Linked DNA regions of Saccharomyces cerevisiae S288C. The gene in region 1 interacts genetically with each later gene. Each region holds a gene or a part of one and is shown in the gene's direction. Other genes may lie near its edges.

What was found. Genes that interact genetically often act in the same process or in processes that back each other up.
Region 2: mutations in RTT109 (region 1) and DST1 together harm fitness more than expected from each alone (negative genetic interaction), as found in Saccharomyces cerevisiae (5 studies listed by BioGRID, with this or other methods).

The regions. Positions count from the first base shown.
Region 1 is NC_001144.5:143,778-148,684, forward strand, and holds RTT109 (H3 histone acetyltransferase RTT109), read left to right. Parts: upstream 1-2,513; coding exon 2,514-3,824; downstream 3,825-4,907. Other genes in the region: SFI1 (Sfi1p), read left to right, coding at 1-2,264; dynamin-related GTPase DNM1, read left to right, coding at 4,113-4,907. UniProt on the Saccharomyces cerevisiae protein: Histone chaperone-dependent acetylase that modifies 'Lys-9', 'Lys-14', 'Lys-23', 'Lys-27', and 'Lys-56' on histone H3 (H3K9Ac, H3K14Ac and H3K23Ac, H3K27Ac, and H3K56Ac) to promote nucleosome assembly, genomic stability, DNA repair and transcriptional regulation during mitotic S-phase.
Region 2 is NC_001139.9:415,650-418,912, forward strand, and holds DST1 (transcription elongation factor DST1), read left to right. Parts: upstream 1-1,833; coding exon 1,834-2,763; downstream 2,764-3,263. Other genes in the region: RIM8 (Rim8p), read left to right, coding at 1-81; RNA15 (Rna15p), read right to left, coding at 497-1,387; YGL041C-B (uncharacterized protein), read right to left, coding at 3,055-3,237; DPC13 (Dpc13p), read left to right, coding at 3,176-3,263. UniProt on the Saccharomyces cerevisiae protein: Necessary for efficient RNA polymerase II transcription elongation past template-encoded arresting sites.

The DNA.
Region 1 (4,907 bases):
CCCTTGCAGAATATACCTACGCTAAGAACAAAATCAGAAGACATTTTAATCACTGGAAGACTGTATGTGAATTGAATGAAGAGGCAAACAGGTTTGCAAATCAAGCAAAGCTGAGGGTACAGGAAGCCGTCTTCTATATTTGGAGTGATAAAACATTAAAATACTCACAGATGGCCAACGATGAAGCTGAAAGTTTTAGGAATACTTGGCTACTATTTCGCTCGTTCCAACAATGGATAACTTTAACACAAACTCTTAAGGAGCAGTCAAGGTTAGCAGATCAGGCCTTTTTGAATAAGATGTTTAGGAAAATTTTAAAGGCACAAGAGCATTGGAAACACTTAGAAACTGTTAACACTGACAACATTAAGAAGATATTTTTACGAACAACATTTCATATATGGAAGCTAAGACATAAAGAAATAAACTACCACGGGTTGGAAAGAAGGATTTTCGAAAGAATAAAACAGAAAGTTATAAACTATGAATACAATAAGAGCATTGCAGAAAAAGTGAGGTCGTTTTCTCTACAAAGAAAATATCTGAATAAATGGGAAAAGAAAAACATTGAAAACGAAGATAAACTTGGGGCACTTTATGAACTGGAGAATAAATTCATCAAACAAAAGTTTTTTCGCAAATTAAACCGGTCATTTCAACATAGTCAACAAGAGGCAATTGCAAAGAGTAAACTAAATCAGACACTTTTGAGGTGCGTTTTTGAGAAGATGTGGCTGAAAAGATTCGAAGACCATCTGCATTTGTATTCAATTGTAAGTCTAAAAGAGGCTAACCTCGTGAAGCGTATTTTTCATTCATGGAAAAAACTTCTATATATTGACCTCAAAGCAAGCGATTATTCGAGGACTAATTTGCTCAAGTCATCATTGCGAAGTTGGAAACTTGAAGTAAAGTTAAAAATATTTGAGCAGAAATGTAAAAAGAGTATTCAAGCAAGCGCGTATCGTACATGGAGGAAAAGAATACAGTATGGGAAAATATCGAGCGAACATGTTAAAACGGCATTTTGTGCAAAATATCTTGGTGTGTGGAAAAGGAGGATGCTACAAATGAATTCTATGAATGACGAAGCATCCAAATTTTACGAAGAGGGTCTCGTAAATGAGTGTCTAGCTATATGGAAAGAACGCCTGATTAAAACTAAGGAATTGGAGGATAGATACAATTTCTTATGTAAGACACATGCAATTTTGACTGTAAAACGGACGCTAATGCATATTGATAATGTTCATTTGCTATATACGAAACTGGCGCCCTCTATGGATAGAGTAAAGCTTTCTAAGGCCTTTTTAAAGTGGCGGAAAGCCACAAGGTTCAAAGTCAGGCATAAGTTAAACGATATTTTACACGTTTATGAAAAGAGTAAAGAGCGCGAACTTCAAAGCCAACTGTTCAACGCTTGGCGAAATAGATTTTGCTTCTACACAGAAGAATGTAACATTCAGGCTATTTCAAAGAGAAACTACCAGCTTGAAAAAATGGTGCTGAAGAAATTTAGAGAAAGACTTTTAGAGATAGTAAAATCAGAAGAATTAGCAGACGAAGTTCGCGAAGAATTTGTGTTAGTCAAGACGTTTTATATTTGGAAAACTCATCTAGACGAAATATTTTATATGAGTACATTATTGGAACAATCGGAAGCTAATAAACAATTCATAATTACATCCAAATTCTTGAAAATGTGGAGTCTTCGATTCCTAAAAATTAAGCGTAATGATGAGACAGTCGAGGTGTTTCGTCATCGGTGGGACAGGGCCACTGTAAGGGGATTGTTATTATTATGGAAAAATCGTTCAGACAGTTCTCCAAAGAGAAGGAAGGACTTCAATCTTAAACATGAACTAAAAACTCCCATAAGATCAGACTCTCAAAACGCCTCAACCATACCAGGCTCAGAAAGAATAAAGCAGCACAGAATGGAAGCGATGAAGTCGCATTATAGCAGGGCAAGAAGAGCCATACCAAGTCCGGTGAAATCTTCCAGTGTTCTTGATTCTACAGCTAAAAAACAGATCAACCTTGAAAGTACGACAGGCTTAAACGGATCTCCGACGCGAGGAAAACCTCTAAGGTATTCTCCTAGGCGTACCACTAGAAACATGCCATCCAAAGTTGACCATATTGATTTTGGCAGAATACCCGCTGTACCTTTTAGCCTAAGCGCCAATTCTCCTAAAATCGATCAAGATATGGATTATATAAGAGAGCATGATAAATCCCCGTTAAGTCGTAAACGTCAATAGATATATATATTATGTACGTATGTATGTGTGCATATGTAGTCGTAACCTTTCTTGCTTCTGAGATGCATACAATTACTAATAATATTCTCCAGGTCTATGAAAACATCACAACATACTATACTTTTCGTGTTCGCGTTGTAAGCTATAATGGAAAATGGACGCCATAACGCATTACTTAACAAACTACAGTTTGTCAATAGAGTTGTCCAGTAGAGTTAAAAGGTCAATTCAACCGGTCTTCAATAAGACATGTCACTGAATGACTTCCTAAGTTCCGTGCTACCTGTCAGTGAACAATTTGAATACTTATCGTTGCAATCTATTCCGTTAGAAACCCATGCTGTCGTAACCCCAAATAAGGACGACAAAAGGGTCCCAAAAAGCACGATCAAGACTCAACACTTCTTTAGTCTATTTCACCAAGGAAAAGTTTTTTTTTCATTAGAAGTGTATGTGTATGTCACGCTTTGGGATGAAGCAGATGCCGAACGGTTAATATTTGTATCAAAGGCAGACACTAATGGTTATTGTAATACGAGGGTAAGCGTTAGAGATATTACAAAAATAATATTAGAATTTATATTATCAATCGACCCGAATTACTATCTTCAAAAAGTAAAACCGGCAATAAGATCATATAAGAAGATATCCCCCGAGCTGATTAGCGCAGCCAGTACGCCAGCAAGAACTTTAAGGATTTTGGCTAGAAGGCTTAAACAGTCAGGCAGCACCGTTTTGAAAGAAATAGAATCTCCACGTTTTCAACAAGATCTTTATCTCTCATTCACCTGTCCTCGTGAGATTTTGACCAAAATTTGTTTATTTACTAGACCTGCATCCCAGTACCTCTTCCCAGATTCTTCAAAAAACAGCAAAAAGCATATACTAAATGGCGAGGAACTAATGAAATGGTGGGGCTTTATTTTGGATAGATTACTAATTGAATGCTTTCAAAATGATACACAAGCAAAATTAAGGATACCGGGCGAAGATCCTGCTCGAGTAAGATCATACCTAAGAGGGATGAAATATCCACTATGGCAAGTGGGTGATATATTTACCTCTAAAGAAAATTCTCTTGCGGTATATAATATTCCATTATTCCCAGACGATCCTAAGGCTAGATTTATACACCAATTGGCAGAGGAAGATCGCCTCCTCAAAGTAAGCTTATCATCCTTCTGGATTGAACTACAAGAGCGTCAAGAGTTCAAATTAAGTGTCACATCATCTGTAATGGGTATTTCGGGATACTCTCTTGCCACTCCATCTTTATTTCCATCTAGTGCCGATGTTATTGTACCGAAGTCAAGGAAGCAGTTTAGGGCAATCAAGAAGTACATTACTGGAGAGGAATACGATACAGAGGAAGGCGCAATAGAAGCTTTCACCAATATTCGTGATTTTCTATTGCTCAGAATGGCAACAAATCTTCAATCTTTAACAGGGAAGAGGGAGCATCGGGAGAGAAATCAGCCGGTTCCTGCAAGCAACATCAACACGTTGGCGATAACAATGCTAAAACCGCGTAAAAAAGCTAAAGCCTTGCCTAAAACTTGATACATATTGATATTTATTATTTAGTACACGTATGTAGCATCGATCTTAGAAAATGCATGTTTGTATTTATTGTTAGTACCTTGATCGCCACCTTTCTAGGTAATGATAGGTCCTCAACTTTTACTACGCGGTGCACGCCTGTAAGGTCGGGCAAAACAAAGTGTGGGAACAATAAATAAGAGGGTAGGATGAAATATTACCTTTACTCTACTGCTCAGGTTGGCCACAATTTGCTAAAGAGTTTATCATTAAGTAGCTACCAGCGAATCTAAATACGACGGATAAAGAATGGCTAGTTTAGAAGATCTTATTCCTACTGTCAACAAGCTGCAGGATGTTATGTACGACTCCGGGATCGATACACTCGATTTGCCCATTTTAGCTGTTGTTGGGTCACAATCCTCCGGGAAATCCTCGATATTGGAAACGTTAGTTGGAAGAGATTTTTTACCTAGGGGTACTGGTATTGTCACAAGAAGACCGTTAGTTCTTCAACTTAATAACATATCTCCAAATTCTCCTCTAATAGAGGAAGATGATAACTCAGTTAATCCACATGATGAAGTTACAAAAATATCAGGATTCGAAGCTGGTACGAAGCCCTTGGAGTATAGGGGCAAGGAAAGAAATCATGCAGATGAGTGGGGGGAATTCCTGCATATACCAGGAAAACGGTTTTATGATTTCGACGATATCAAAAGAGAAATCGAAAACGAAACAGCGAGGATAGCCGGTAAGGATAAGGGCATCAGTAAGATTCCGATTAATTTGAAAGTGTTTTCCCCTCATGTTTTGAATCTAACGCTAGTAGATTTGCCTGGGATTACAAAGGTTCCTATTGGGGAACAACCACCTGATATTGAAAAGCAAATCAAGAATTTGATCCTAGACTATATAGCCACTCCAAATTGTTTAATCTTGGCCGTCTCTCCAGCTAACGTTGATCTTGTTAATTCTGAATCCTTAAAGTTGGCCAGAGAGGTAGACCCTCAGGGCAAAAGGACTATTGGTGTCATTACCAAATTAGATTTGATGGATTCTGGGACTAATGCTCTAGATATCTTGTCTGGAAAAATGTATCCT
Region 2 (3,263 bases), on another chromosome or scaffold:
CCGTCGGAAGACAAACAAGAACTTGAACAAAAAAGACTACAACAGTTAGAAAGCGATCCTCCCCCTTGTGATGACTATTAAAAAGTGCAGGTAACAAGTCATATACTCGCAGCTTGCGCCGTGTTGGAACTAGGCGCCTTAATCATGTTTGCATATTTCCACTATCCCAGCCACGTAATGATCCATGACATTAACATAGAAAAAAAAAATCGAAGCATGCACAAACCTGAGATTTATATATGTTCATGTGTACTTAATATACGTTTAATGATTAAAACTATAGCCGTCCTCAGGCAAACTGAGATAAGAAACGAAAAAATAGCAGTAACGTAAACGTTATTCTATATTTATAAAGACGTCAAAAAAAAAAGTGATTGTGATATTGAGATGTAAGCTATATACCGAACTTTGAGCTCCCTCACGTGGAAAATATGATAGATTGTTGCCTCATCATTGCGGAACCGCATTTTTTTTTTGTATTTTTGCCTCCCTAGTTTCAAAATGCACCAAATTCTCCCCTTAATGCTTTTTGTTTTAAGTCCCAAATAGCCATCCTTTCATCATCGGGCAAGATAGAAATTTGACTGTCATTCAGTTGTAACACCTGTTTCAGTAGTTCTTTCTGTTTGTTAAGCACAGCTGGATCCACCACCTCGTTCACGCTATTGTTATTCGTAGCCGATGCCTCTTCTTGCGGCCTGGAAGCTAACGGGATCAAATCATCCACTTTACATATCCCATTCGTTAGCAATAATTCAGCCGTAACAAAACTCAACTGTGGACACAGCTCTAATAGCGAAACAGCATCTTCAGGATGCGCTCTTGTCCATTCTTGGAATTTTTGTAAAAATTTCAACTGCACCTCTTTCGGTTTTTTAGCTAGTTCGCTCGATATCATCATAGCAGGGGTGGTCATGTTTATGTTAACGTCGATACCAGAGGGCAATTCTGGAAACTTTTGACTTAGAAAATTGGCATTTCCGCTGTTTTGAAAGTCCGGCCCATTACTATTATTATTATTATTTCCATTGTTGTTATTGTTCCCATTAATGTTGTTGTACTGTTGTTGTTGCTGTTGTGAAACTCCCGATATATCACTATTGCTGGAGTAACCGCATTTCAAAAACCTAGAGCCTAATTGGTATCCATTCAAATTACGTACTGCGCTGGCACTGGACTCTAAATCTCTAAATTCAATAAACGCGTACCCTTTCGACCTACCAGTTTGGGGGTCGAACATCATTTTCAAATTGATCACGGGCCCAACATTACTACATAAATCAAGTATCTGCTCCTCTGTTTGATCGTATGGTATAGAACCCAGATACACCACTCGGGATGGTGGGTTGTTCTGTACCCCCGCATTCACACCGCTCTGCCTATTCATTTTATCGTTTTCGTCTTTTCTTTCAATGTATTGATAATTAACGTGTCTATGTGATGCTATTGGTATATAGCCTTTCTTGTATATCCCTCTAACAATTATTACAAGTGTTTCTGTTTAAAGCAAGTGCTAGAAGTGACTCGGTTCTCTTAGGAAATTCTAAACGCAAGATTTCTCTTATGGTGATTGTAACAATTATGAGATACTTCACTAGCCCACCTTAACTTTACGGACCTTCTTTTGAAACGATGCTTCGAATGACAACGCCTTTTTGATATATAATATCCAATTTCATTATAGGGAAATTTTCAACTCTTACCCGCCCCACTGTGCTGATATGACCAAGTGATCACTCGATGATGGGACTACGTATTGAAAAATATTGAATGAAAAATTACTCAAGCAGCAGAACATTCACAGTGTAGTCAGTCCGCATAAGAGCATTCATCATGGATAGTAAGGAAGTACTGGTACATGTTAAGAATCTAGAAAAGAACAAAAGTAATGATGCTGCAGTTCTAGAAATCTTACATGTCTTGGATAAAGAATTCGTCCCCACTGAAAAGTTACTGAGAGAAACAAAAGTTGGTGTGGAAGTCAACAAGTTTAAAAAATCCACTAATGTAGAGATCAGCAAACTCGTGAAGAAAATGATTAGCTCTTGGAAAGACGCAATTAATAAAAATAAGCGTTCCAGGCAAGCACAGCAGCATCATCAAGATCATGCGCCAGGCAATGCAGAGGACAAGACAACTGTAGGTGAGTCCGTGAATGGTGTTCAACAGCCGGCCTCCTCCCAGTCAGATGCCATGAAACAAGACAAGTACGTCAGCACTAAACCAAGAAATAGTAAGAACGATGGTGTGGATACAGCTATATACCACCACAAATTACGTGATCAGGTACTAAAAGCACTCTACGACGTTTTGGCCAAGGAAAGTGAGCATCCACCTCAATCTATTTTGCATACTGCAAAGGCCATAGAAAGTGAAATGAATAAAGTTAACAACTGTGACACCAACGAAGCCGCTTACAAAGCCAGGTATCGTATAATTTATTCAAACGTCATATCAAAGAATAACCCAGATCTCAAACATAAAATTGCCAACGGTGATATAACACCTGAATTCTTAGCTACATGCGATGCCAAGGATCTGGCACCAGCGCCCTTAAAGCAAAAGATAGAAGAAATTGCCAAGCAAAACTTATACAACGCACAGGGTGCCACCATAGAAAGGTCAGTCACCGATAGATTTACATGTGGTAAATGTAAAGAGAAGAAGGTATCTTACTATCAATTGCAAACAAGATCTGCGGATGAACCATTGACCACTTTCTGTACATGTGAAGCATGTGGTAACAGATGGAAATTCTCTTAGAATAGAAAAAGATGAGAGTAGCCACGGACAGAGCAAAGGAAACAATAGGAGGAAGGGACAGAAAAGCCTGTTCTGACTCTATTCGTAGTAGTATTTGACAGCCGGAATCCAGGAAAAGAAAAAGCCAAACATACAACCATATCCAATTTGTTGAAATGGCATATTCATATACGATGTACATATATACATATACTGCTGGTGTTAATTTTTTTTGTCTGTCTCACGTAAAATCTTTTGTTCGTCCAGTTACTTTTAATTATTTATGATTTTCATGTTTTCTTTATTAATCTTCTATGCATTAAATATGGCTCGGTCAGAACTAAAGAAATACAATTTAAGATGTAACAAAACCGACGAATAAAAAGTTAGAATAAACACAAGAAGCAGAAAGTAGATACTACAGCCACACATAATGCTAAGAGTTATATGGAAGCATAGTTCCAGAGTCACTCGTTCGATAGAACTATCGAACATTTCTACCACTAATCACACCAGGAGTT